7 linked regions of the Macaca mulatta genome follow. The protein of the gene in region 1 binds, or shares a complex with, the protein of each later gene. Links are inferred from orthologs where the notes say so. Each region holds a gene or a part of one and is shown on either strand. Other genes may lie near its edges.

Region 1 (3,500 bases):
CACATATCCACCTGCAATTGTTGTTTATATAATTGATCCTTTTACATACGAAAATACAGACGAGAGCGCTAACTCTTCTAGTGTGTGGACATTGGGGCTACTTCGATGCTTTCTAGAAATGGTCCAGACTCTTCCTCCTCATATCAAGAGTACTGTTTCTGTACAGGTAAGAGTGATAAATGTTGTCAGTTAAAATTATGTAAAACAGTTTGATGTTGTCAGAAGTTTCAGATACTACTTTTCTGTATTCAAATTGATTATCTAAAAGCCAAGTTCTATTATATTGATTTTACTTTAATATCATAATATAAATCTTAGATAATTTATAAGTCATACCACAGTAATAATACAGAATAAAAAACAGTCATACCACAGTAATAATACAGAATTTTTAAAAAGTCCATTAAGTACATTAAATGTTTCTCCTGTGTTACTTTTATAAGCCAATTTTTAAATTCATGAGCCTAAATAGAAAGATATAGCACATACAAGACAGGTTGCAAGAAAAGGAGAAAGCAATTAACCATATTAAGTTGTTAGAAGAAATTTTGAATTTATTTTATAGACTTCAGGACTGGTCAATGGCATTATTAATATAATTATTACATAGAAAATTTATAGTTTTTTGTTGTTGTTGTTGTTTTGAGATGGAGTCTCGTTCTGTCGCCAGACTGGAGTGCAGTGGCACAATCTTGGCTCACTGCAACCTCTGCCTCCCGGGTTCAAGCAATTCTCCTGCCTCAGCCTCCTGAGTAGCTGGGACTACAGGCATGTGCCACCACGCCCAGCTAATTTTTGTATTTTTAGTAGAGATGGGGTTTCACCATGTTGGCCAGGATGGTCTCTATCTCTTGACCTCGTGATCCGCCCACCTTGGCCTCCCAAAGTGCTGGGATTACAAGTGTGAGCCACTACGCCTGGCCAGAAAATTATACAGGTTTTAAATAGTCCTTTAGTTCAGAACCCATTGGTAAAATTGGCTACTTATTCAAAGCCTACATAATAGATAAGAAAACAATTCTTAAATTTTCATTTAAATTAGGTTTTGTTTAAATTTTCTAGTAAAAAGTTTTTAGAGTTTTAGACCCACAATTCCTGTTATTCTCTTTTGAAAGTTTAACATTTGTAATATTTGCCTACACTTCTTAGATAATTCCTTGTCAGTACCTGTTGCAACCTGTGAAGCATGAAGATAGAGAGATCTATCCCCAGCATTTAAAATCCCTGGCTTTTTCGGCCTTTACCCAGTGTCGGAGGCCACTTCCAACATCAACCAATGTGAAAACATTGACTGGCTTTGGTCCAGGTTTAGCCATGGAAACTGCCCTTAGAAGTCCTGATGTAAGTATGTTTTTCATGACCAAAGTTGTTGAATGACTATACATACTTTTTTTTTTTTTGAGATGGAGGCTTACTTTGTCACCCAGGCTGGAGTGCAGTGGGGAAGTCTCGGCTCATCACAACTTCCGCCTCCTGGGTTCAAGCAATTCTCCTGCCTCAGCCTCCCGAGTAGCTGGGATTACAGGCATGCGCCATCTGGCCCAGCTAATTTTGTGTGTGTGGGGGGGGTTTGTCATGTTGGCCAGGCTGGTCTCGAACTCCTGACCTCAGGTGATTGCCCACCTCTGCCTCCTTAAGTGCTGGGATTACAGGCACGAGCCACTGCGCCCTGCCAACACTTTTTTGATATTATGCAAAACTAAGCGCAATTTTTGGCTTAGCTCTCATTTTCCAGTTATCTTATAATTGGGTAGATGATAATTACATTTTAAATGCATATTTATCTAAGATTGTATAGTATGATAATACCTTAATTTTTTATTTTATAGAGACCAGAGTGTATTCGACTTTATGCACCTCCTTTTATTCTGGCTCCAGTGAAGGACAAACAGACAGAGCTAGGAGAAACATTTGGAGAAGCTGGACAGAAATACAATGTTCTTTTTGTGGGATACTGTTTATCACATGATCAAAGGTGGATTCTTGCATCTTGCACAGATCTCTATGGAGAACTTTTAGAAACTTGTATCATTAACATCGATGTTCCAAATAGGTATTTGTATTTCCCTAAATATATCATATCATTCCATTTTTCATGTGTGTGAGTGTGTATGTGTGTGTGTATATATGTGTGTGTGTGTATATATATTGTTTCATTTTTAATGAATAGAAAACCAGCTTGAAGGTTTTGTATATATTAAAATATTAAGATGTGGGATTGTGGGTGCTTTTTACTTTTTCTGTAGTGAATGTTTATATTGTATAAGATAATTAAAAATAATTATGATTAATCTATTACATGAACAAAAAACATTAAGATCACTAACTTCTGTGTCATAAAGCTTGCAATTATTTTAGCTGAACATTTGTGAAAGATGTAGTTAGAAAACACTTCTGCAATTAAAAAATGGTCTAGTAAGTATAGAACATTTAAACTTTTCTCATATACCATCTAAGATATAGCCCCTAATTAACTAAGTTAACTTCATTTACTAAAATTGGCGATTTAAAATTTTATCATTATGGCCGGGCGCGGTGGCTCAAGCCTGTAATCCCAGCACTTTGGGAGGCCGAGACGGGCGGATCACGAGGTCGGGAGATCGAGACCATCCTGGCTAACACGGTGAAACCCGGTCTCTACTAAAAAAATACAAAAAACTAGCCGGGCGAGGTGGCGGGCGCCTGTAGTCCCAGCTACTCGGGAGGCTGAGGCAGGAGAATGGCGTGAACCCGGGAGGCGGAGCTTGCAGTGAGCTGAGATCCGGCCACTGCACTCCAGCCTGGGCGACAGAGCGAGACTCCGTCTCAAAAAAATAAATAAATAAATAAAATTTTATCATTTAATGTTAGGATGTAGCCGGGTGTGGTGGTGGGTGCCTATAATCCCAGCTACTCAGGAAGCTGAGGCAGGAGAATCACTTGAATCTGGGAGGCAGAGGTAGCAGTCAGCTGAGATCACGCCATTGCATTCCAGCCTGGGCGACAAAATGAGACTGTCTCAAAAAAAAAAAAAAAGTTAGGATGTCTTCAGAATATGATGGCCATTTTAGGATTCTTGGCAGTAAATACCATGTCCAATTATTTGCGAAGGATATAACTAATAGGTCCCAACAGGTGAGCCTCATTTTGAGTTATCAAAGCTAGTGAACGCTGAACAGGAGAACCTGAAAAGCAAATCTGTGAAATGATTTTTAGTTTTAAGATTTGGGTTCTGGCCAGGCATGGTGGCTTATGTTTGTAATCCCAGCACTTTGGGAGGCTGAGGCAAGGCAGATCACTTGAGTCCAGGAGTTCAAGACCAGCCTGGGCAACATGGCGAAACCCCATCTGTACAGAAATACAAATATTAGCTGGGCATAGTGGCACACCTGTAGTCCCAGCTACTTGGGAGACTGAGGCAGAAGGATCACTTGAGCCCAGGAAGTTGAGGCTGCAGAGTGAGCTGAGATTGCGCCACAGTACTTCAACCTGGGTGACAGAGTGAGATCCTGTCTCAAAAA
Region 2 (4,271 bases), on another chromosome or scaffold:
TTGAGCCTGGAAGGCAGAGGTTGCAGTGAGCCAAGATCGCGCTACTGCACTCCAGCCTGGGCCACAGAGCGAAATCCTGTCTCAAAAAAAATAAAAATAAAAACGGAAGAGCACAACATCCATTGCATTAAACTGGCTTTTGGAGGAGGAGGTGGGAATGGGGTTGGAAGTAGGAATACTCAACGGGGTCCGTGACTTCGCTTACAGGAGCCTCAGTTTCCCCACTCTCGGACATTAGAAAATGGAAGAGGGGGAGGGATTGCATTGGGAGTTATACTTGATGTAAATGACGAGTTGATGGGTGCTGACGAGTTGATGGGTGCAGCACGCCAACATGGCACAAGTATACATATGTAACAAACCTGCACGTTATGCACATGTACCCCAGAACTTAAAGTACAATAAAAATAAATAAATTAATTAAAAAAAAAAAAAGAGGCCGGGCGCGGTGGCTCAAGCCTGTAATCCCAGCACTTTGGGAGGCCGAGGCGGGTGGATCACGAGGTCAGGAGATCGAGACTATCCTGGCTAACATGGTGAAACCCCGTCTCTACTAAAAATACAAAAAAAAACTAGCGGGGCGAGGTGGCGGGCGCCTATAGTCTCAGCTACTTGGGAGGCTGAGGCGGGAGAATGGCGTGAACCCGGGAGGTGGAGCTTGCAGTGAGCCGAGATCACGCCACTGCACTCCAGCCTGGGAGACACAGCGAGACTCCGTCTCAAAAAAAAAAAAAAAAAAAAAGAAAGAAAGAAAGAAAATGGAAGAAAGCCTGGGCAAGGGGGCTCACGCTTGTAATCCCAGCTCTCTGGGAGGCCGAGACGGGCGGATCAGGAGGTCAGGAGATCGACACCACCCTGGCCAACGTGGTGAAACCCCGTCTATACCAAAAATACAAAAATTAGCCGGGCGTGGTGGCGGGAGCCTGTAGTCCCAGTTACCCGGGAGGCTGAGGCAGGAGGATTGCTTGAACCCAGGAGGCGGAGGTTACAACGAGCCAAGATCGCGCCATTGCATTCCAGCCTGGGCAACAGAGCGAGACTCCGTTTTGGGGGGAAGAAATAAAGGACAAAAATATGGAACGCTTCACGAATTTGCGTGTCATCCTTGCGCAGGGGCCATGCTAATCTTCTCTGTATCGTTCCAATTTTAGTATATGTGCTGCCGAAGCGAGCACGACACATTGGTTCTACCACCAGCTATTTATAGTCCCCGGAGGACATTTCTTTACACATACGACGACTTGTCTCCACTGCTCTAGAGATTCAACCTCTATTTGTATTAGTCCAATGTGTCACGCAACTAACGCAGTTATTAACTGGAGTTGAGAAAGTGCTCGTTATTCTACCAAATATAGCTACAGTGGCTGCTGGGAATTACTGGAAATGCTCGTATGCAAATATACCCGGAAGCGGGGCGGAGCCTGAGCCGCACCGCCCTCCCAGAAGTCTTTGGGAGGCGGCGGCGCGACTCAGGCGACTGGTTGGTGCCGGGGAAGATGGCCGCGCCGCAGCCGAGGCGCTAGGGAAGTTCGCATAGCGGACGCCCGCTGGGCTTGGTGCACGGGCCGGCCAGGTGAGTGCGGGGCTGCGGGGGCCCGGCGAGGGCGGACGGACCCCTTACCGTGTCACTGGACCCCAGGGAACGCGGCGCGGGCGTGGCGGGCCCTGCGGGGTCAGGGGGCGTGGCCGGGAGCAAAGGCTGCTGGGTAGGCGGCCCGGGGCTCCGGGTTTGCGGCGGAAACTCGCGGGAGGCCTGAGGCCCGCGGGGCGGGGGTCGGGGCGGGGCCTAAGGAGAGTTTGGGGCGGGGTTGAAGGCGCTTGGTTGGATTGTTGGGGGGGGGCCTGGAGAGGGAATAGTGTCCCTGGGGTGGAGCCTGGGGACTGGGGGTCTGTAGAGGCAGGGCCTGGAGACTGGGGGTTATCGGTACGGGGCCTGGAGAGGGAATAGGGTCCCTGGGGTGGAGACTGGGGACTGCGGATTTATAGGGGTCTGGAGAGGGTATAGGGTCTCTGGAGATCGGGGGTTATAGGGGCGGTTCCTGGAGAGGCTGAGGCGTCCCTGGGATGAAGCCTGGTAGTTGGGGTTATAGGGGCAGGACCTGGAGAGGTTCTGGGGTCCCTAGGGTGGAACCCGGAGATTTGGGGTTATGGGGGCGGGGCCGGGAGAGGCTACGGGTCCCTAGGATGAAGCCTGGTGTTTGGAGGCGGTAGGGGAAGGGCCTGGAGAGTACATGGGGTCCCCGGAGTGGAGTCTGGGGACTGGGGAGTCTTAGGGGTGAGGCCTGGAGAGCTGGGGGCATTGGAGGCTGGACCTGAACAGTACATGGGACCCCTACGGTGAAGCCAGAGAATTTCGGGTGAGGCCGTAGGCTCAAGGGGTGAATTGAAGTGTGGGAAGCAAAGAGTATCAGCGGCGGGGCTGAAAGACTTTTAGGGGCTTGCGGCGGATCCTTGGGGGTCTGGGGCAGACCCTGAAGAAGTAGGGGGCTGGAGTTAGGGCCTGAGGAAAATGGGGCTGGTGGTCATTCCAGTCTCACTGGGCTTTTGCCTCTGAAGCAAAACAGCCTGTCCAGATGTCAGGTGCTTAGAAAACCCCGAGGAAATGCTCCCTCTGTTCCCTGTCACACTCAGCCCCCGCCTCGGCCACAGGCATTCCCTGTCACACTCAGCAAGCCCCTTAGCCCCAGCACGCCTGCCCCGCCGTGGCCACAGGGAACCACCCTACTGCTTGCCTGTCTGTGGGTTCTTCCTTCGGGAGAGACCCAGGGTCCGCCTGCCGCCCCCATCATCACTCACCTGGGCCAGTGCAGACCCTCCGCCGCATCTGTCAGCTGTGCCCTTGGCCCCCATGGTCCCTTCCCCAGACAGCCAGAGGGGTCCTGGTGAAACCCAAATAGGTCCCAGCCCTCCCGGGCTCCCACCTTGCTGACGGTAGAAGCCCACCAGCCCAGGACTGGCCCTGACCTCTCCACGTTCCCCCTCGGCCCCAGCCCCATGGACAGCCGGGAACGCCCAGGCTCTGTCTCGCCTCTGGGCCTTTGCATTGGCCGTTCCCTCCACTGCAGGCCTCCATCGTTTACCCACTTCCGGCCTGGCATGCCCTGGGTGCTCAGCCAACATAGCTGACCCGCCACACCTCCCTCCCGCAGGAGCTGGTGACTGCCCTCATGTGTGACTTGCGGCGGCCAGCGGCAGGTGGGATGATGGACTTGGCCTACGTCTGTGAGTGGGAGAAATGGTCCAAGAGCACCCACTGCCCATCGGTGCCCCTGGCCTGCGCCTGGTCTTGCCGAAATCTCATCGCCTTCACCATGGACCTGCGCAGCGACGACCAGGGTGTGTCCCCCCCGCCACCCGCTTCCCCTCCCGGCCTCACGGTGTCCTGCCCTGTTCCCCAGGTGCCCGGCACGCTGCCATGCGGGGACTCGGTCTCTCAGGCCTCCCCTCACTCTTCCCCAGCCCTCCTCTGTAACTTGGGTGAGAGCCTCAGCCTTCTGGGGGTACAGAGGGTGGATTCAGTGCTCCCCAAACCTGGGGCCGGGAGACATGAGATCGCCCCGTGTGTGGGATCGAGTGGGGCTGGGGCGGTGGTTGACGGAGGCTTGTTGGAGACACGTGCCCCAGTTTTCCAGACAGCATGTGTCACTGTTTGGTTTTTGAAAGGTACGTGGTGGCTATGCCCATCTTCTCTCCATTGTTCGAGTAATAGGCACTCATAATAGGTGGTCATTAGAGAAAATTAGAAAACCACAGAAAATTGGAATCAAATCAGGGCGATAAAAGGCCCCCATTACCTGCTGTGGAGAGGCTCCCACTGTTCATGTTTTGGGGTCATTTTCTTCTAATCTGGTTTTAAAGACGCGGTCATGGCGCCTCACGGGCCTGCTCAGTTCCTGCGGGGGGACAGCCCGTTCCCTGAGCTGTCGACCCGACTGACAGCAGCTCTGTGACCTCCCTGGGGTGGGACACGCACTGGCTTCCCTGGAGCCTGCCCGGGGTCATCGTCCTCGCCTCCAGGCCATGGCGCCAGGCCGTGATGACCATGTCCCGTCCCCACAGATCTGACCCGTATGATCCACATCCTGGACACGGAGCACCCCTGGGACCTGCACTCCATCCCCTCAGACCACCGCGAGGCCATCACCTGCCTGGAGTGGGATCAGTCAGGTGAGGCCCCGGTCCCACGTGGCTGGGGGCGGCGACCCGGATCCCGGAGCAGGGGGCCCGTGTTCCCCAGTCAGTCTGGAGTCCGGCGCTGGGTCTGGAGCCCC
Region 3 (4,178 bases), on another chromosome or scaffold:
CAGACTCAAATTACCCCCCAGTTTATAGTATGCTATTCACAGCAGTCTAAGCAAACTCACGTAGGTATCTTTCTAAATCCCTTTTTGTAGAAAAATTTGTATTTCCTCCTTTTCCCCCTGGCACGTTATTAGCACCACTAGTATTGCACATATTACACTATATTACGGTTTAAAATGTCTACTTCTTCAACTGAACTAAAGCTCTTTAGAGTAGCTATATGGGCCCTAACCTGACTGGTGTCCTACTAGGAAGAGAAAATTAGGACACAGCCATGTACAAAGGAAAGACCACGTGAAGACACAAGGAGAAGAAGGTCATCTACAAGCCAAGGACAGAGGGCTCTATAGAAAGTAACCCTACCAACCTCAACCTCAGACTTCTAGCCTCCAGAATTACAAGAAAAGAAATTTCTGTTGTTTAAGCCACCCAGTCTGTGGCATTTTGTTATGGCAACCCTAGCAAACAATATACGAAGCCTAACTCTTCAAGTTTTTCTCCAGCAGGGAATCTGAATTATTTCTTTTAAGCTTTTAGTAGCTATTGTGTGGGCAACGATGGTTGCATGTGCATGTTAAAGTTGTTAGAAAACTAAATTTATGCCAGGTCAGAGACTTGTATAACAAAACCACTAATGGGGACTCATCAGCTCATCACTTAGCAGCTACAAAGGAGTAGTTCATGCTTAGCAGTTTGTGGCATTTCACAAAGAAGTGAAAGGCCCTTTGCATGTCTATGACTCTCATCAACAATTTTCTTTTTGAGGTAAAGAAAGCTGATCATCGAAAAGGCATAACAGATGTTTTAGGGGTTGGTGATGACGGTGGCATATGAAGAAAAACACGTATTCTCAACAATATTGCCAATAGAATCCAGCAATACATTTAAAAGGATAATATATTATGACCAAGTAGCATTTATACCATAGAAGCAAAATTGGTTTGGCATTCAAAAGTCAGTCAATCACATTTGCACTGAGGTTATCATAGCTGACAAGCACCGTCTCTGTGGCTTCAGCTCCTGGCTGCAGGCCGCTGATGGAGGTCCAGAAGGTCAGCTGCTCACAGACATCAGCTGCGGCTCCAGCATTTTCCGCAGGCTGCAGCCTCTGGGTTTCAAGCTTTTCATTTCCCAGTCTGCAAACGGGTTAGTCCCGAGCAGGAAGCAACTCCTTCTCCAGCCGGGAGGTGGCGGCCTGCGGTCGATCACGCCTCCGGGGTCCTTGGGCTCAAGGTTCCGTTTGGGGGCGCTCTCGTCCGGCTTGCGGGCTGACCTTCTCCACAGACGGAACCGTCTGGCGGCGCCGCTGGTTTCTGCGGGGTTTGCAAACAGAGAGTACCGGGCCCTTCCGGTCTTCCGTACAGGTTCCTCCAGTTGGCTGGGCTGCGGAGGGAAGGCTCCCCGGTAAAGCACTGGGGGAGGGAAGCGACGTCGGAGAGCTACGGTTTCCTCCGGCGGTCTCCGACCCTCGCCCCATATATTCCCAGAGCTCGGGTCTGACCCGGGCCTTACCGGGCACCCCGGAAAGGCGGGGGTAATAGTACAGATGGAGACGCAACTGCAGAGCATTTTCGAAGAGGTGGTGGTGAGTGCAGCTGCCGGCCATCCAGGACTACGGCTCGGGGACGGGTAGACGCGGGGGCAGCAGACCAAGGAAGCTGGCCCGGGCAACTTCGTCTCACGCTTCCCTTTTTATTCTCTTGTTTTGACATCGAGGTTGTGTGCGGGGAGGTTTAGTGATTCTCAAACTGCTGTCAAGTTCATTGTATCCTTTGAAATCGATACAGTGACAGGCCCGACAGGTATTGATAGTTTCAGAGCTGATTAAGGTGACTTGTCCTGTGTTACATTGTAATACTTGGCTAAGGGAGGCGCCTTTTAAAAATTAACATTGTTTACATTTTGTTTTTTGTTTTTTTTTTTTTTTTTTACAGAAAACGGAAGTTATAGAAGAGGCTTTTCCTGGGTGAGTGTATGCGTGGCGGATTTTTGTGTTTTCATGTGATTGTATCTGTCAGATTTTACTTAGTTTCGTGTTGGAAGGTTCTAAGATCCACTATTCTGATTGTGTGTAATTACCTTTTTAAAACGAATGACAAATAATGTAATTTTTATTTTTTTAGCATGTTTATGGATACTCCTGAAGATGAGAAAACAAAACTAATTAGCTGTTTGGGTGCCTTCAGACAGTTTTGGGGTGGTCTTTCTCAGGTGAGCACTTCATTTTTAATACATTCAGCTGATGATTTTTGCCCCCTTCTTTTTTTTTTTCCCTTTAACATTTACTTTGATGTTGCTCTTAAGATCTTCCTGAGAAGGAAGAAATAAAATTGTCATCATTTTTTATTCTGGCTTACGTTTGTTTTAATTTGTATATTTCGGTAGAAAACCTATGTTGAGAAGTCAAGTTGATACTGCACAGTGTGCAACGCTGAAAAAAAGAAAAAAACTCCCCTATGTTAGATTAATTAAGATCATTTTCATCCTATTCGGATTTTTTTGGTACACTTGAAAACAGATGTGTTAAGCTTTACTTGTCAAAGATACACATTCCATTTGTTTTACTTAATAAAGGAATTGGCACAGCATTGATACAAAGATGCTACAATAGGAATACCAAGATTCTATAATAACGATAGGAAGATATTATAGTAAAAATGAGGAAACAAACTGTAAAAGTAACAAAGAACAGCTACCAGAAAATGTATCCGTGAAAAAGACAAAATGTGTCATCCTTGAAGAGCTCACATTCCAGTAGTGCCTTACCTTCTCATGGTGTATTATGGGTAGGGAAATGAGAACTGTGTGTCAGCCACTGGTGATAAGATTTGCCACTTCAGACATGGATCATATAATGCTAATACAGTCATGTTTTAACCTTTTGTTTAATTATTTTCTAATAGGTAATACATTCATATGGTTCAAAATGCACAGGTATAAAAAGGGTGGATCCAATAACTAGTCTCTTTCTCTTCTCTTACCTGTTCTTTTTTCTGTCTCTAGCCAATATCCTCAAGTTATGTTTTCTTCTAGAAGTATTTTATGCGTATAGAAACACTTTTATAGCATGATCATATACCATGTACACTGTTAATTAATTAGCACTTTTTTCTCCTAATAATAATCTAAAGGTAATTCCCTATCAGTCCAAGAGTTACTTGTTCCTTCCTTTCTTGTTATTTATTTATTTATTTTTTAATTAATTAATTAATTAATTATTATTATACTTTAAGTTCTAGGGTACATGTGCACAACGTGCAGGTTTGTTACATATGTATACTTGTGCCATGTTGGTGTGCTGCACCCATCAACTCGTCATTTACATCAAGTATAACTCCCAATGCAATCTCTCCCCCCTCCCCCCTCCCCATGATAGGCCCCGGTGTGTGATGTCCCCCTTCCCGAGTCCAAGTGATCTCATTGTTCAGTTCCCACCTATGAGTGAGAACATGCAGTGTTTGGTTTTCTGTTCTTGTGATAGTTTGCTGAGAATGATGGTTTCCGGCTGCATCCATGTCCCTACAAGGGACACAAACTCATCCTTTTTTTGGCTGCATAGTATTCCATGGTATATATGTGCCACATTTTCTTAATCCAGTCTGTCACTGATGGACATTTGGCTTGATTCCAAGTCTTTGCTATTGTGAATAGTGCTGCAATAAACATACGTGTGCATGTGTCTTTATAGCAGCATGATTTATAATCCTTTGGGTATATACCCAGTAATGGGATGGCTGGGTCGTATGGTACATCTAGTTCTAGATCCTTGAGGAATCGCCATACTGTTTTCCATCATGGTTGAACTAGTTTACAATCCCACCAACAGTGTAAAAGTGTTCCTATTTCTCCACATCCTCTCCAGCACCTGTTGTTTTCTGACTTTTTAATGATCGCCATTCTAACTGGTGTGAGATGGTATCTCATTGTGGTTTTGATTTGCATTTCTCTGATGGCCAGTGATGATGAGCATTTTTTCATGTGTCTGTTGTCTGTATGAATGTCTTCTTTTGAGAAATGTCTGTTCATATCCTTTGCCCACTTTTCGATGGGGTTGTTTGTTTTTTTCTTGTAAATTTGTTTGAGTTCTTTGTAGGTTCTGGATATTAGCCCTTTGTCAGATGAGTTGATTGCAAAAATGTTCTCCCATTCTGTAGGTTGCCTGTTCACTCTGATGGTAGTT
Region 4 (4,036 bases), on another chromosome or scaffold:
TAATCCCAGCTACATGGGAGGCTGAGGCAGGAGAATTGCTTGAAACCAGGAGGCGGAGGTTGCAGTGAGCCAAGATCGCACCACTGCCTTCCAGTCTGGACAACAAGAGCGAAACTCCATCTCAAAAAGAAAAAAAAAAGAGGAAATTTAAGTACAGTACAAAGAGGTTAAATAACTTGCACTAGGTCACACAGTTAATGCGTGGTACACCCAAGACTCAAAGCCCAGCAACCTGGTTTCATGTCCATGCTCCTAACCACTAACTAGACTGCCTGTATAGGGATGTAGTGCCTGTTAAAACATTTTTAAGGAAAAGATCAATTTAAAAAATTAATAAACAATAGTACAGGCAGTACTTAGCTATATAGAAATCAAGAAAACAGTCATAGATGACATTGCTTTATGATCAACTAAATGAATCTATTAGGGTAGAGTCCTTCTGTTGCTAAAAATTGTCATTACTCTATCAGAAAAAGCACTGATAAACAATGTTGCTAATGTGCCTTATTTTGAAATATAAAAGAATCCCTAAACTGACGCTACAAGGGACAGAAGTCCTAGGATTCTGAAAACGTTGATAAGGGTGCCAACAGAGAGCCCTTGCCCTGGAGCTGCCTTCTCCATTTAAAAAGCAGGGGTGGCTGGGCACGGTGGCTCGTGTCTGTAATGCCAATACTTTGGGACACCAAAGCAGGAGGCTCGCTTGAGTTCAGGAATTCAAGACCTGGATGTACAAAACAGCAAGAACCCATTTCTATTTCTTTAAAAAAAAAAGAAAGAGCATGGGGTTCCAGGGTTCTACGCTGCATCCTTTCTATTTCCATCCCTCACATATCTTGCTTCCATTAAGGAACACAGGAGGATCATGATGTGAACTGTGGGAAACAAGAGTGCAATCACTGAGAAACCTGCAAGAACCTGGGCTACCAGGAGGAAAAGTATTTCCCCTACACATGCTTTTGTATGAGAAGCCTATAGCCACTGGCTTCAGATATCCTGGCCTCTGGGTTTCTCCCACGGGGAAAAATGCTCACATCTACTGAGATAAGAAAAAAATGTTCTGGGACCTGGCACCTTACAACTAACGCCTCCACAAGCACTGGACCCATACCTTTCCCTGCTACCTCATCTTCTTCCAACGGAGACTTAAAACCTATGAAAGATAAAAACTCCTCTGAAACTAGACTAACCATGGAATTAAACATAGTGGGAAACGGGTCCTAAAGAGATAAAGTGCCTGGAACCCTGATCTCCTTATTTTCAATAGCCTCTTTTTCCCTCTGGACCCAAGATCTTAAAATGGGCAAATTAGAAACAGACACAAGCTGGTCTAACTGCATTTGATGGCTGAGGGAAGGGTAGGCAAAAATCTTGGCCGGTCGCGGTGGCTCACGTCTGTAATCCCAGCACTTTGGGAGGCCGAGGCAGGCGGATCACCTGAGGTCTGGAGTTCGAGACCAGCCTGACCAACATGGAGAAACCCCGTCTCTACCAAAAATACAAAATTAGCCGGGCGTGGTGGCGCATGCCTGTAATCCCAGCTACTCCGGAGTCTGAGGAAGGAGAATGGCTTGAACCCGCGAGGCGGAGGTTGCTGTGAGCCGAGATCGCGCCATTGCACTCCAGTCTGGGCAACAAGAGCGAAACTCCGTCTCAAAAAAAAAAAAAGAAAGAAAAAGAAATAAAGAAAAATAAAGAAAATCTTTAAAAATACTGTTTCCTGATTGCTTATAACCCACTCCCTCTAACCCTGTCTGCAGGTGGGTCACAGTCCAAAGACCCTATTTCCAACCCTGACGTCCCATTGCGGGCAGTACTATGGCCTCACGGGAAGGAAAATGAATCTAGAAGGGAATGAGGTACACAACCATTGATAGGTTCCTGGGATAAAAACTTTGCTTTGTCGGCCGGGCGCGGTGGCTCAAGCCTGTAATCCCAGCACTTTGGGAGGCCGAGACGGGCGGATCACGAGGTCAGGAGATCGAGACCATCCTGGCTAACACAGTGAAACCCCGTCTCTACTAAAAATACAAAAAACTTACCCGGGCGAGGTGGCAGGCGCCTGTAGTCCCAGCTACTCGGGAGGCTGAGGCAAGAGAATGGCGTGAACCCGGGAGGCGGAGCTTGCAGTGAGCTGAGATCCGGCCACTGCACTCCAGCCTGGGTGACAGAGCGAGACTCCGTCTCAAAAACAAACAAACAAACAAAAAAAAAAACAAAAAAAAACTTTGCTTTGTCGACACCAGCCTGGCCAATATGGTGAAATCCCATTTCTACTAAAAATACAAAAAATAGCCGGGCGTGGTGGTGGGCGCCTGTAGTCCCAGCTACTCGGAAGGCTGAGGCAGGAGAATCGCTTGAACCCAAGAGGCGGAGGGTGCAGTGAGCCAAGATCGCACCACTGCACTCCAGCCTGGCGACAGAGCGAGACTCCGTCTTAAAGAAAAAAAAAAAAAAAAAAAAACTTCGCTTTGCTTTCCCGCCTTCCAAGAGGAAGGGGCGCATCTCCGAGGAAACAAGGCCGGGGAACCCGCGGCTCGCACGGCATCCTCTCATCCACACAACCCGAGGACAGCTCCCAGGGGACGGCGGACCACGGTCAAGGTCCTCTTTTCGGCCCTTCACAACTCCAAGCTCCGCCCCACAAAACCCCCTGCAGTCCTACCAAGTCACTCCCATGGCGTCGGGCCAGGAAGGCGGCCGGATCACACGGTAGAAACGCAGGGTTCCCTATCCGCCCACAGAAACTGCTTCAGTTCCCCAACACAACCTTCGGTCTCGGAAGAGACTCCGGAAATACGTAAAAACAGAGCGCCGGGTCCACGCCTTCCCCAAGGAGTGGGGCGGGTCTCAGGGCCACTCGGTGACACCTCCAGTGACATCATCTGCGGATTCCCGCCCACAGGTTTCTAAATCCAGACATTCTCGTTTGGCTGAGCACTCTAGGCCTAGACCCATGAAGCTAAGAGCGACACTCAAAGACTGCACTGTTGAGAGAAGCTAACGTTAAAGGCTGTGAATATATTGGGGAGTCCAGCTCCGGAACCCGGGAGCTCTTTTAGTGGGAGGGGCGGCGCTGATGGTGCTTCTGGCCTCCGAATGCTAGGGGGCGCTGTGATCGCCGCGTGGCCTCTTGAGAGCCGGGAGTCCACCGCGCAAGCGCAATCTGGCTTTTTCGCCGTCCCCACGTGCGAACCTCCGCGGCAACGTTTTCGAGAAAAATGCCCAAGTTGAAGGCGGCCCGTGGGGTCGGGGGTCAGGAAAAACATGCGCCCCTGGCCGATCAGATCCTGGCTGGGAATGCGGTGCGGGCAGGGGTCCGGGAGAAGCGGCGGGGTCGCAGGACCGGAGAAACGGAGGAAGAGTATGTGGGACCCCGGCTGAGCCGGCGGATTTTGCAGCAAGCACGGCAGCAACAGGAGGAGCTCGAGGCCGAGCATGGGACTGGGGACAAGCCCGCGGCGTCGCGGGAACGCACCACGCGGCTGGGTGAGTGTCTGGGATGAGATCCGAGGAAGACAGTGGCCAGTAGTGGGGCGGGGTGGACAGCTAAAAAGTGTCTGGCAGGGGAATTGCTTCGAGTCAACAAAGGGTCCGTATTACACTTGCAAAAGTAATGGAATGGGAAACTGAACCCTGTTCAGAGCCCTCCGCGTCCACTCCTAGTTTTAGGCACTCCCTTCTACACATCCCCTAAGTTAGGCCAACAGTAATCGCTCGCTCCACCCTAGCATTTATCCATTGGTTTTGTAAATATATATGGGATACCCACTACGAGCTTTGTACTATGCTCGGAGTTCTATCGAATGTTTGGGTACAGAAGTAAACAACATAGGCACGTCTGACTTAAGGACCTTACAGTCAAGCCCAGTAGAGAGTCAATTAAGTAGACTCTTAGAATAATATTTTTCTATGATAAAGTGTCGCTTCCCTGGTAACAATAGCATTGGTCTTGAGAAGCTTCTCCGATTGCAGCAGGACCTTTTAAGTTGAGAACTGAAAAACGAATGGGAAGTGTTATGAGCAGAAAACACAT
Region 5 (3,500 bases), about 15 Mb from region 1:
TCTACAAAAAATAGAAAAATTAGCTGGCTGTGGGCCTGCAGTCCCAGCTACTTGGGAGGCTGAGGCGAGAGGATCACTTGAGCCCAGGAGTTTGAGGTTGCAGTAGACTCACTCTGGGCTGGGCAAGAATAAGACCTTGTCTAAAAAAAAAAAAAAAAAAAGTGTCAAGTAGTCAAATTCCTAGACACAGAAAGCAAAATGGTAGTGACTGGGAGCTGGAGGGAGGGGAAAATGGGAAGTTGTTGTTCAGCGGGTACAGAGTTTCAGAGATGTAAGAAGAAAGTTCTGAAGACCTGTTACACAACAGTGTGAATATACTTAACACTACTGAACAGCACACTTAAACAACATGGCTAAGATGGCAAATCTTATGTGTGTTTTACAATAAAAAAAGCAAACAACTTATTGGTTGGGTGAATGAACTCAATGTAGCTGGCCACCACGGAAGTCCTCCAAGCCCTCGAAGAGCCAGGGCAGGAAACTGTCCTAAGAGAGAACTGAGGGTGGGGGATGGCCTGTAAAACCTACAGACAGTTTCCTAGCTCCTAGACAGTCATACAGTTTTCTTCTTTTGGGAGCTAGCTGTCTAGAACTTGAGTCTCTGCGGGCAGACCCTGTTTGGGTCTGCATTTCTGATACACAGCAGGTGCTGGCATATAAACGCTTCTGCCACAGAGACACAGTACATGTTTGCCGAGTCAGGTGAGTGAATGCATGAATGGGAAAGTGAGTGAGCGAATGATCGAGCAGCGTGTCTGCGAAGGTCAGAAAAGAGAAGGGTGCTTGTTATTGGATGTGCTGACTTCTCACAACACACTTGTAGGGTCTGAGAAGGGAAGGTGGCTTACTGACCTCTCATTGTAGAACTGCAGGGTGTTCTCACTAAACAGCGGCCCTGCCAGCTGGCGGATCATCTGCAGCGACTTCTCACGCTCATCCAGCCCCAGCATCCGGACGTGGGCCACAAGCCAAGCCACAGCACACACCGCCAGACTGCATACCTTCCCTTTGATGTTATCAGTGATTTTCTAGGGGAGAGGGAAAGGTGATGGGCTACCATCTATCTCCCTTTCCTGAACCACCATCACCTTCTCAGCCTCTGTGGGCAGCTCAGTGCAGCGGGTGGAGTCCCGGGCCACACTCCCCACAAGTTTGATCTTCCCAGAGCTACCTGGGCCAGAGGGAGTGGCTAAGACTACAATTACACAAAAGATCGATATCAAAACATGAGCTCCTGGATTAAAGGTCTTCTTGCCCTTACGAAATATAACAAGTCATCACTGGCTGGCTCTGCGTCTCAGGGGAGCGAAGGCTGCTGGGAAGGGGGGGCTACCTGGATGGACTCGAAGGCCAGGACCCCATTCTCCCAGGCATTGAGGATTTCCAAGATGGCGGCTGAGATGCTGAGACAGGCCTCGTGCCACTTCATCTGCCTGCGGGAGTGCAGAGAAGTCAGCACAGAGGAGCAGGGGACGGGCTCGGGGAGAGGGTCTTGACCCTGCCCCCACCGCCACCCTTGGAGTGGGCGCCCGGGCCACTGACACCAGCTTCATCTCCGAGGAGTTGTTGAGCAGGGCCACCAGGGACTCCACTTTGGTGGAGTCGGGGCGGAAGCAGGGGTGGTCAGGGTTCAGGATCTTGCCCTCCTCAGGCATGCAGGTCTGCATCCAGGTCTCGAAGAACGGCACGTCAGCTCCTGTGCGCGACTCAGACAGAATCACCTGGGAAAGGGGAAGGGGGGCACCAGCCGAGTGGGGAGGGCGCGGCGCCTGCCAGCGCTGGACCTGGGACTGCACCGTTTCCCGCCAGGCTGCTGCTCCAGCCCAGCCCGAAGACTAGGGACGAACTGTTCTAAGGGAGCCAGACGGGGGCAATGCTGCCACCTAGTGGTCAGTGTGAACATGGGGCTGAAGGGGCCGTCCGCGTGGGCACCTGGTTTCTGAGGCCCACAGAACTAACTGGCTGAGAGGCTGTGGGGGTGCAGGCGGTGAGGTGGGGAGAGTTTCGGGTTACCTTCTTCCCCTGAGCCCCCGTCCCCGTTGCTCCCCTCTCTCTCACCTCTGAACCATAGGTCTGGGCCACATGGCACAGCATGAGGAAGGAGATGTCAAACAGCAGGGCCCGGACGGAGGCCGGTTTGGCTGTGGAAGGACAGGAAGGCTGAGCTCCCAGACGAGGGCAGGGGGCGGTCGGTGTCTGGGTCGACAGGGATCGGGATTTGCCTCTAGGAAGGTCAGGGACCAAGTGGCTCCTTCAAAGCTCTGAGGCTCAGAATCCTTTTCTTGAGTCTCAACTGGAACATCATCCCTTCCTTGAAACCAAAGACCCCCAGCACCCTCTCCTGGCATACCCAACCAAGTCATAAAGGAGTGAGGGGGGAAGGAGACATAGGGATGGATGGTCTGGGAAGAATACTGTTCCAGCATTACCCACTTTCAAGCTCTGTGGAAGCTTCCGTTGGTCATGGCTCTGACGAGGGAGCACAGCCTCCCCCTGTTGAGCCCGGGAGCCCTCCTCCCTCCCACACTCTCCCACCACACCCCTCCTCAGGGCCCACTGGGCCTGCAGATGTACAGGGCTGACTTACTGCTTTCTTCGCTGCCATAGGTTGTGAATTCATTCAAACTGAAAGGAATGGAGACAGGTTGCATTAACCAGGGCATGAGCTGAGCAGTAGCTGGGCGCTGGGGACTACACATGCTCAGAGAGCGGTCGCTAGAGTCTGAGTTACTGGTTAAACTTAAAATGAGACACATTGGTACAGGAAAAAGAAGGATTTCTTTTTTTTTTTTTTTTTTTTTTTTGAGATAGAGCCTCGCTCTGTTACCCAGGCTGGAGTACAGTGGCACAATGTCAGCTCACTGCAACCTCTGCCTCCGTTCAAGCAATTCTTCTGCCTCAGTCTCCCAAGTAGCTGGGATTACAGATGCCCACCACCAAACCTGGCTAATTTTTTATATTTTTAGTAGAGACAGGGTTTCACCAAGTTGGCCAGGCTGGTCTTCAACTCCTGACCTCGGGTGATCCACCCACCTTGGCCTCCCTTAGTGCTGGGATTACAGGCGTGAGCCACCGCACCTGGCCAGAAGGATTTTTTTTTTTTTTTTTTTTTTTTTTTTGAGACGGAGTCTCGCTCTGTCGCCCAGGCTGGAGTGCAGTGGCCGGATCTCAGCTCACTGCAAGCTCCGCCTCCCAGGTTTATGCCATTCTCCTGCCTCAGCCTCCCGAGTAGCTGGGACTACAGGCGCCCGCCAGCTCGCCCGGCTAGTTTTTTGTATTTTTTAGTAGAGATGGGGTTTCACCGTGCTAGCCAGGATGGTCTCGATCTCCTGACCTCATGATCCGCCCGTCTCGGCCTCCCAAAGTGCTGGGATTACAGGCTTGAGCCACCGCGCCCGGCCAGGATTTTTATTGTTAGAAGATTTCCAAGGCCTAGAGAATGGCTCACTGAATGGAACCATGTTCTATATATGTCAAATTCCAGGACAACCAAAGGCAAC
Region 6 (4,284 bases), on another chromosome or scaffold:
TTTTACAAAACCGGTGATTTCGCTGCTCTGTAAGTTTGCACTTTTCTATCACTCCAAAAGAACTCCATTAAGATCGCGGCCTGGCGCGGTTGCCCACGCCTGTAATCCCAGCACTTTGGGAGGCAGAGGTGGGCGGATGACGAGGTCAGGAGATCCAGACCATCCTGACCAACATGGTGAAACCCCGCCTCTACTAAAAATACAAAAATTAGCTGGGCGTGGTGGTGCGCGACTGTAGTCCCAGCTACTTGGGAGGCTGAGGCAGGAGAATCTCTTGAACCTGGGAGGCAGAGGTTGCAGTAAGCCTAGATAGCGCCACCGCACTCCAGCCTGGGTGACAGAGCAAGAGTCTGTCTCAAAAAAAAAAAAAAAGAAAAGAAAAAAGAAAAAAAAAGAAAGAAAAAAAAAAAAGAAAGAAATCGCTTGATCCAGGCCGGGCCTGGTAGCTCACACGCCTGTTAATTCCAGCATTTTGGGAGGCTGAGACGAATGGATCACCTGAGGTCAGGAGTTCCAGACCAGCCTGGCGAAATCCCCTCTCCACTAAAAATACAAAGATTAGATGGACGTGGTGGCACGCGCCTGTAATCCCCGTAATCCCAGCTACCGGGGAGGCTGAGGCAGCAGAATCACTTGAACTCGAAAGGTAGAGGTTGCTGTGAGCCAAGATTGTGCCACTGCACTCCATCCTGGGTGACAGACCCAGACTCTGTCTCAAAAGTAAAAAATAGGCCGTGCGCGGTAGCTCACGCCTGTAATCCCAGCACTTTGGGAGGTCGAGGCGGGCGGATCACGAGGTCAGGAGTTTGAGACTATCCTGGCCAACATGGTGAAACCCTATCTCTACTAAAAATACAAAAATTAGCCGGGCGTGGTGGTGCGTGCCTGTAGTCCCAGCTACTCGGGAAGGAGGCTGAGGCAGGAGAATCGCTCGAACTCCTGGAGGCGGAGCTTGCAGTGAGCCGGGATCGCGCCACTGCACTCCAGCCTGGACGACAGAGCAAGGTAAAAAAAACAAAAAACAAAAACAACAACAAAAAAAACTTGATCCGTGAGAACAAAGTCATCTTCATTTATTTCTCTTTCCAATCACAGGTAAAATAAGTCACAAAATCTTTTATTTTATTACAATGCCATTGTTCTGTTTTTGAAGTCCTGGAAGAGGTAATAACAGAACCCCGGAACTCAGCCACTTCGCCCAGGTTAGACCCCTACTCAGCAACTCCAGTGCTGAGGACAGGAGACCGAGCGCCGTGGGCCCCCGGCCAGAACAGGCAAGACGCTCTCGCGAGAGTCTTCCAACCGCCGTGAGCTCTCGTGAGCACTAGTTCTCTTCTATCTCAGCGCCCCCACAGGTCAGCACCTCCCCGCCGGCTCCCTCCGCTACCGCGGGCCGGAACTTTTGTCGATAGGAACGGGTTTGCACAGTTGAGTGTTGTCGGCCGGCGTGAAGGAGACTAGGGGGCCATCCTCTTCCTTTCGCCGTCGCCGCCGCGGAGCGGAGTCGAGCCGAGCTGATTTGATCGAGGAGCGCGGTTACCGGACGGGCTGGGTCTATGGTCGCTCCGCGGGCCGCTCCGCCGGCTGGTGCTTTTTTATCAGGGCAAGCTGTGTTCCATGGCAGGGAACTTTTGGCAGAGCTCCCACTAGTAAGTGATCTTACGTCTTCTCACCTGGGGCCGGTTTTTGGGGGGCTGTGAGGAAGGGGCCTGCGACTCCCTTGGGCCTGGATCCCGGCTCAGTTCCGAGTGCCGGGGTCCTCAAGGGAGACGGCAGCGGCCAGAAGCAAGATGCTCTTTTCTGAGGCGACTCCCCTCCCCGCCCCCAGCCCGTTTCGGGGAGGGAAGGATCTGTGAGGGGGAGGGGTGGGAGAGAGTTTAGTCTCCCAGGAAGAAACGTTTCAGAGTTTAATTTCGGATTTTTAGTTTAACTAGGCCGCAGGGGGTCGGATAGAGTGGGCACAGGTACGGGAAGTGTGACTCAGCTCAAGACTGTGAGGCTACCTGTTCAGGACAGTTGTGGCGTGCTTTTGCTTGGGATTTCTTCGGGTGATTGGCGTCGTGGTCTTTTGTCATTCACTGTATATCTTGAGTGGATTTAATATTCTGAGGAGAGGAGAAAGTCTGGCTTGTTTCTGCCTACTAACCTCTTCTTGCCAGTACTTTATGTCTAGATGGAGTTTTATATTGATAAGGTATAGGGCAGGTGCCCTGTAAACTTATCCATTTCATTAGCCTGTGCCTTATATTTTGTTTTAAAGGCGTATTTTTCCAGTGATTTTGTTTCTCTATTTCTTTAACCTTTTTCATGAATAAGTTCTTGTTTCTGTCAGTGACTATGTGAGAGCTAGAATAATATTAAAAACATTTATCTCTAAATACATTTGTTTAAGCAGGCAGGAAGGTGCGTGATGGGGTTAATTGAACATTGAGTAGGCTTTCCACTGTATAGTTGAAAGATGAACAGAACTTGACAAAGAAGGTATCTTAGTATAATTTTTTATGCTAAGAAAGCATTAGTAAGTAATTTAAATTTCGATTCTGTGAATAGGATCTGTTCCTGATGTTCATTTTTTAGCCCTTTGCAAGGAGAAAAAAGAAACAATGAACTCGGTAACCTATTTAAGGAAAAGCAGGTTTTCCTCTTGCTATAAAGTGATTCTGTGGAGATGACATGTTAAAGAGGCAGGCAACTGATCATATGTGTATGTGTGTGTATATATATGTGTGTGTGTGTATTATATATATGTTGCATTGTTTTCACACACTGAAATATTGCTTGGGCAGAATTAAAGTATCGAAAGTTTAGGTATTGGAGTTAGAGCTCCTGAAAAAAAAATTTAGGTAGTGGAGAAGAGAGATTCTGATAAACTTTGAAAGAAGCCGAGAGAATTGACAAGTAGCTGACTGGTGATTTGTCAGTTTTTCAACTTAAAAAAAAGCTCCTACCTTTTTTCAATGGTGTTCTCATTATGCTTTCATTTATTCATAGCGTTATAAAAACATTTTTTCACTTTTCAAATATAAAATTATTACAAAGTTAAGTGTACTTCTTTGAAACTATTCTCCCAATTCAAATACTCCTAAAAGAAGGGATCACTTTGCCTTGCTCAGATCCCTTGAGCAGTCATAGAGTTTCTTATCTGGAAAAGGTAACAAGTATGGAAGACAAGACAATTCTGGAAAAACAAACAAAAGATTTTGAAAGGCCATTGTTTTAGCTGAATTTGGTGAAAGAGGGCAATTGACATTAAATATGCTATATTTCATGCTTCTAAGATGCATATTTTCACACTTTAACATCTTTGAAATGAGCATGGCAGTTTCTTTCATAGCATATGAAATAATGATGAATCCAAGATGTAATCTTAAATTTGATGAAATGCAGTATTTATAAATTTTTTTAGTTTATCCTGCATACACAGCTCTGAGGAAAATTCATAAAATGTTTGTGAAATTTATGAAATTTATCTTTTTAAAAACATAAAATGACTCTGTGGGGATGAAATTAATTAGCAAACCACAATGTAGTTGAAGTAGAACAAAACACAGTCTGTGACCAAAATGAACTAGAAGGGGACTAAGTATTTGCTGGGTTGATTGAATGCATTAATGAAGGAGTAACAAAAATAGAAACTACAAAACTAACTGTGGATACTTTATTGTGTGAAAAAGGAAACTGAAAATACAGTTACTTAATATCTATAAAATAACATCATAATATTACCATATATGGAATGTAACCAAAGCTTGAATGTATTAGAAAATCAATATCCTGAATAATTGAGAGATAATAGAAATATTCTATTTAATAATACTAAGAAGGAAACATGAAATAAGCCTAAAGAAACAGGAAGAAGATCTTAAAATAGATAACGCTGATGCTAATATATTAAAAGGAAAAAAATTATAAAAGATCATTCTTAGAGTAAACAAAAACAGTAGACGAAACTACTGCTAGTTAAATCAGGGGAGAAAGGAATGATACAAAAATACAAAATTAGGAATGAGAAAAGTAAACCCAAGGGTACTTTTGGGTTATCTCCAGGGTTTTAAATTTGAAAGCCAAAGCAAGTTAAGAGTATTACCCAAGAACTATGCCTTATTTCATGGGTAAATACATCTTTCAAGAGAATCTCCTTTTGAAATTGTTCCATTTCATACAGAAAGAAGAAAAGCTTTCCTTTACAAAGCCATGATAACACTTACAGAAAAATCTAGTAAAGGGAACACTAAAAACAGTCTCACTTTTGAATACTGATGCAAACATTGTAAATGAATTATT
Region 7 (4,279 bases), on another chromosome or scaffold:
CCCTTTGGGAAGTGGGGAGCTTTAGTGGAAATGGTAACAATTGGAAACCAAAAATTAAAAACAGACAAATAAGAGGGATAAGATAAAATGATAGATTAGTATCAATCTTGAAGCAGGACTCCTGAAGCAGGACATACTGCTACCGCAAAATTATTAACAAACTAGTTCCCATGGATTTAGATCCTTTCTGTAATCATAGCTAGAAACTGGTGTTCTTATGGGGAGCATCGCAGAAGGCTGTACTGTACTCAATACTTCCTATAAATGGACAGGAAAGGTTGGATGGTCATCTGTCACAAGAGTAACAATGTTTAGAAGTAGCTTGGACAGTAGTCATTGATTCACTTTTACTGGAGCTTGTAATGTCAGTATGTTGACATCATTGTGCAGCCCTTATCAGATTGTGAACACCAAGAGTACCCCAACTGCTGGCCCGCGAGCTGTTTACAAATATATCCGCTTTTATAGATGACAGTGGCCTTTAACATCTGGAGTTCAGAGTGGCACAAAATGTGTTTCTAAAGCTACTCTCCTTCCCACGTGCATCTCTTTGGTCAAGTTTATGGCTGGAATCAGACTCTAGTTAGATCGCTATAAAAATAAAAATAAAAATAAAAATAAATTTTCCCCAAGTGATTGAAACGAATTTCACCCTAGACTACGAGTCCCAACATGCAACGCTCCCATATTCCCACCATGTGGGGCGGAGTCGTAGAAGAGGCGGCAGCGGCGGCGGCCTATGCATTCTGGGTATTGTAGTCTCGGAACCGGCCACCGCTGGGGCTGGTCCCACGTGTTGCGTTTTGCGGCAGCTTTGGGCAGCGGCTCCCCTGCTCCCTCCACACGGTCCTCAGGGTGCCAGCGCCAGCAGGGGCGGCCAGCCACCGCGGGAGCGGGTTGGAGGGTGGTTCGGAGGCAGCCCGAGGCTTCGCGACGTTTTTGCGACAGCCGCGGCCGTGTTCCGCGAGTGCCCTCCCTCCTCCTCTCTTTGAGGAGGTACCGGCTGTTGTGCGGCGCTGCCTTTCTGTTTGAGTGTATGGGAGAGTGAGTGAGTGAGTGAGTGAGTGTGAGCGTGTGTGTGAGCGCGTGAGGCGTGAGTGCGCGTGTGAGAGGACGAGAGCCCGCCTGGCCGCCCCGCCGCTCCCGCCGCAGCAGGAGCAGAACGCGCGACCGGAGAGAGCGGCGGAGCCGGCGCCCAGGGAGCCCGCGGGGACAAGGGCAGAGACACCGCTCCCCACCCCCAGCCCTCGTCCCTCGGCTCTGCTTCGCCGGGGGATCCTCCCCGTTCCTCCACCCCCGGCCGGCCTCTGCCCCGCTGCCCCCCTGGATGTCCCCGGCGCTTTCGCGGGGCCTCCTCCTGCTCTTGCCGCATCAGTCGGGCTGGTGCTGCGGCCGGCGGGCGTAGAGCGGGCGGGTTCCCGGGGGCTGCGGCTGCCCGTGCTTCCCCGGTCCCCACCCCTGCCCCCCGGCCCCCCGACCCAGCTCTCCGGCCTCGGAGGCTGTGACAATGGACTATGACTTTAAAGTGAAGCTGAGCAGCGAGCGGGAGCGGGTCGAGGACCTGTTTGAATACGAGGGCTGCAAAGTTGGCCGAGGCACTTATGGTCACGTCTACAAAGCCAAGAGGAAAGATGGGTGAGTGTGTGCGTCTGGGCCGGTGTCCGCGCTGGGCGGCGCTCCCGCAGGCCGAGGCAGGTAGCCCGGAGGGAGAGCGGGCCGCCGGGGTGCCGGGCTCTGACTTCCTCGACGCCGGCCTCTGGCTCCGCCAGCAAGGTTTGGGGAGGAAGTGGTGTACAAGGGATCCAAAGCCACAAGAAATCCTGCGTGCCGCATCTGTGTTGTGCTTCGGTGCTAAGAGGGAAGAGGAGCCTCTGCACCGTGGGCTATATACTTTTCAAGGATTTCAAAGCTGATTTATGAAAAAATGCGTTCTAAAACGCCGGGTGAAATGTTTCTGTTTGTTTTTTTTTCCTTGGTCGATTTATTATGGTAACCTTCTGGGGATTTCCTCACCCGCCTCGGGAGTGTCATCCATCGGTCTAGAAGGAAGGCTGTGATCCTTTCCCCCCCCAGTTTGTGATCGATTTTTTATCAAATTTGTATTTTATTTGAGGGAAGGAAGGCAGCGAGTGAATGTGGTTCTGGAGAGAGTTCCCCATACGGATCATCTGCACCATACATGTTGCAGTTGCTATTTAGATATTATTAGCTGTGAATTTTTACATAGAACAATGGGGGTTTGGTGCAGGGTGGGTGGTGGGGAAGAAGACAAGTGACATAGGGACTATCTCGTTGAGGCTGTTTCCCCCAAATTTAGCGGCTGGCAGTGAACTTTAAATAATCCCTTTGCTTTAAATATTCTTCCCTAGTAACAACTTAATTAAACCTATGAGTGGTAATGCTTCCAATTTAGTTTCTTAACAGGCAAGTGAATTGTTCGTTTTTTTCTCTTTGTCAGTAGATGAATGTCTTGTAATATTGACAAAAGAGAAGGCAGTTCTTAGTGGGGGGGAATAATATATATTTTATTAACTCCATGTTTTCTTGTAAAATGGATGTTGTCTCTGTTGCCTTTGACAGAATAGAAAATTATTGAAAAGTCAAAGCTTATTATATAATCTTTGGATTTTATTAGAAACGAAGTAGCTTTACTGGAACATTCCAGTTTAGTTACCTGCTATATGATGTTTAATCACTTAAAATTTCAGATTAGGAGAGTATGTTCAGACTACATTAGCACGAAAAAAAATTCATAAAGCTGAAGTTCCCTAGTGTGGGGGAGGGGGGCGCATATTTATAAATACTTTAGTATTCTGGATGTTGGAAAGGAAAGTGTGTATTTATTCAACATTTTTCTTAGATTTACTGAAATATCTTTCTAAAAGTGTTTACAATGGACTCTACGAGGAAGATAAGAGTTCTCATTAATTTGGAATATGTATTTTAGTGCTTTTATGCCACAATAAAGTGGAACAGATCGGCAGAAGGTAGGGATTTGGATTTGAAAACTTGATACTCTGGGCGCCGCACGTATTTAAAAGTACTTTTTAGCACTGGAGAAATCAGCGTCTGGAGATACTGCTGACTCTGTTGATGTCTAATTAGACTTATTGTTGAAGTTTTACTCTGTAATGACATATATTTTAAAAATTATGTTTGATAACTTACCATACAATATTTCTCAAAAGCTTTAAACCATCTCTCCTTCCCCCAGTATTATGTAATTTTGGGCATATTCATAAAATCCCCAATCCCATGAGATTAGACATTACAGTGCATTTGACCACACTGTCATGTTATATAAAATTCTAGCGCCTTTGCATTATTTTTAATCTGTGTGAGAGAAGCCGCTTCTGTTTTCAAAAACTATGAACTTAAGCTAATAAAATATGCATATTTGTTTTAACGTTGTACTTTTATTAGAAAACTAATACTGTGTATTGGCAGGAGGTACTTAAGCAAATATTTTATATCTCCATGGTCCGGTTTTAATTTAGGTTGTTAAGAATAATTTGAAAGAATAATTTCAATATCTTTGAATTTAAAGATAGTTGAAGGTATAATGTATGGACATTCTTAGTCATCCGTGACAGCTGAAAAGTAACATTGCATTTTGGAAAAAAGAGCTTATTATTTGTAATCCTTGGCGTTTGTTTTCCATCAGTCTTTAATGATTCTCTTTATGTGATGAACTTCTGTTTTTAATGGATCAAATGTCAAGAGAGTTTTAAAATTACTATCTTTTAGAGATAGTTTTGGAGAGTTTTAAAATTACAGGGATTTTTCAGTTTGACTTCTTTTTTGTAACCTCACTCTGGTAAAATATCGCATACTATTTATGAGGTTCTTTTGATCTTATGTCAGTGAAATGTAATTTAATGCATTTTAGTCCTGGTAAAATAAAATTTGTGGCTGTTTAATCTTTTATAATAAGATGATGATCAAATAATTTGTTTCTAGTATTGATTTACTTTCAAATTACATTATATATTCTGCAGCTGAGATTTGTTCTCTAGGAACTCAGACGGTAACACCTTCAAGGAGAACCTGAGAATTTCTATAAAAGGAAATAACACAAATAAGCTTGGTTTAGACATATTTGACTATTGAAATGAATGTATGTAAACGTTGTATCCTTTCAGTTGCCCCAGTGAGCATAGAACATGAACAATTGGTAAAATAATTTAGACCAGAGGAGTTAGCTGCTTAAATTATTAAGTTTTAGGAAATAAAATAGCTTGAAAGATTCATTTTTTGACTTACTTGAGGCATGATTGCA

The links.
Region 2: MED13 (region 1) and MED16 share a complex: the UniProt entries of both Homo sapiens proteins name them as parts of the mediator complex. The link is inferred for Macaca mulatta from reciprocal best matches to the Homo sapiens genes MED13 and MED16.
Region 3: MED13 (region 1) and MED23 share a complex: the UniProt entries of both Homo sapiens proteins name them as parts of the mediator complex. The link is inferred for Macaca mulatta from reciprocal best matches to the Homo sapiens genes MED13 and MED23.
Region 4: MED13 (region 1) and MED20 share a complex: the UniProt entries of both Homo sapiens proteins name them as parts of the mediator complex. The link is inferred for Macaca mulatta from reciprocal best matches to the Homo sapiens genes MED13 and MED20.
Region 5: MED13 (region 1) and MED24 share a complex: the UniProt entries of both Homo sapiens proteins name them as parts of the mediator complex. The link is inferred for Macaca mulatta from reciprocal best matches to the Homo sapiens genes MED13 and MED24.
Region 6: the proteins of MED13 (region 1) and CCNC are in contact, whole or in part, in a cryo-EM structure (PDB 8TQC), measured with the Homo sapiens proteins. The link is inferred for Macaca mulatta from reciprocal best matches to the Homo sapiens genes MED13 and CCNC. Residues at the interface, in NP_005112.2 of Homo sapiens: Tyr1342, Ser1630, His1631, Val1732, Lys1733, Thr1734, Thr1736, Phe1738, Gly1739, Pro1740, Gly1741, Ala1743, Arg1897, Met1898, Ile1901, Asp1905; in NP_005181.2 of Homo sapiens: Gln7, Gln13, Trp14, Leu16, Gln19, Lys23, Gln26, Lys27, Arg75, Tyr76, Glu144, Leu145, Asp147, Cys148, Ser221.
Region 7: the proteins of MED13 (region 1) and CDK8 are in contact, whole or in part, in a cryo-EM structure (PDB 8TQC), measured with the Homo sapiens proteins. The link is inferred for Macaca mulatta from reciprocal best matches to the Homo sapiens genes MED13 and CDK8. Residues at the interface, in NP_005112.2 of Homo sapiens: Thr1616, Met1617, Asp1618, Arg1619, Lys1621, Val1622, Gly1623, Ile1624, Pro1625, Thr1626, Asp1627, Gly1628, Asp1629, Ser1630, Val1732, Lys1733, Thr1734, Leu1735, Thr1736, Gly1737, Phe1738; in NP_001251.1 of Homo sapiens: Leu9, Glu12, Arg13, Arg71, Lys74, His75, Pro76, Leu81, Gln82, Lys83, Val84, Tyr133, Asp137, His140, Tyr141, Met330, Gln331, Phe335, Leu336, Leu340, Pro341, Thr342, Ser343, Asp344.

Annotation. Positions count from the first base shown.
Region 1 is NC_133421.1:49,699,513-49,703,012, reverse strand, and holds part of MED13 (mediator of RNA polymerase II transcription subunit 13), read left to right. Parts: coding exon 1-166; intron 167-1,149; coding exon 1,150-1,341; intron 1,342-1,829; coding exon 1,830-2,053; intron 2,054-3,500. UniProt on the Homo sapiens protein: Component of the Mediator complex, a coactivator involved in the regulated transcription of nearly all RNA polymerase II-dependent genes.
Region 2 is NC_133424.1:1,546,014-1,550,284, reverse strand, and holds the start of MED16 (mediator of RNA polymerase II transcription subunit 16), read left to right. Parts: upstream 1-1,471; 5' UTR 1,472-1,573; intron 1,574-3,149; 5' UTR 3,150-3,167; coding exon 3,168-3,336; intron 3,337-4,059; coding exon 4,060-4,167; intron 4,168-4,271. UniProt on the Homo sapiens protein: Component of the Mediator complex, a coactivator involved in the regulated transcription of nearly all RNA polymerase II-dependent genes.
Region 3 is NC_133409.1:36,667,873-36,672,050, reverse strand, and holds the start of MED23 (mediator of RNA polymerase II transcription subunit 23), read left to right. Parts: upstream 1-1,378; 5' UTR 1,379-1,544; coding exon 1,545-1,583; exon of another isoform or gene 1,584-1,800; intron 1,801-1,932; coding exon 1,933-1,964; intron 1,965-2,121; coding exon 2,122-2,209; intron 2,210-4,178. UniProt on the Homo sapiens protein: Required for transcriptional activation subsequent to the assembly of the pre-initiation complex. Component of the Mediator complex, a coactivator involved in the regulated transcription of nearly all RNA polymerase II-dependent genes.
Region 4 is NC_133409.1:140,252,642-140,256,677, reverse strand, and holds the start of MED20 (mediator of RNA polymerase II transcription subunit 20), read right to left. Parts: upstream 2,801-4,036; 5' UTR 2,680-2,800; coding exon 2,666-2,679; exon of another isoform or gene 2,043-2,665; intron 1-2,042. Other genes in the region: BYSL (bystin), read left to right, coding at 3,222-3,489. UniProt on the Homo sapiens protein: Component of the Mediator complex, a coactivator involved in the regulated transcription of nearly all RNA polymerase II-dependent genes.
Region 5 is NC_133421.1:64,378,864-64,382,363, forward strand, and holds part of MED24 (mediator of RNA polymerase II transcription subunit 24), read right to left. Parts: intron 2,626-3,500; coding exon 2,588-2,625; intron 2,322-2,587; exon of another isoform or gene 2,218-2,321; intron 2,142-2,217; coding exon 2,059-2,141; intron 1,722-2,058; coding exon 1,543-1,721; intron 1,434-1,542; coding exon 1,334-1,433; intron 1,029-1,333; coding exon 853-1,028; intron 1-852. UniProt on the Homo sapiens protein: Component of the Mediator complex, a coactivator involved in the regulated transcription of nearly all RNA polymerase II-dependent genes.
Region 6 is NC_133409.1:86,296,427-86,300,710, forward strand, and holds the start of CCNC (cyclin-C), read left to right. Parts: upstream 1-1,484; 5' UTR 1,485-1,617; coding exon 1,618-1,649; intron 1,650-4,284. UniProt on the Homo sapiens protein: Component of the Mediator complex, a coactivator involved in regulated gene transcription of nearly all RNA polymerase II-dependent genes.
Region 7 is NC_133422.1:6,371,775-6,376,053, forward strand, and holds the start of CDK8 (cyclin-dependent kinase 8), read left to right. Parts: upstream 1-1,479; 5' UTR 1,480-1,507; coding exon 1,508-1,635; intron 1,636-4,279.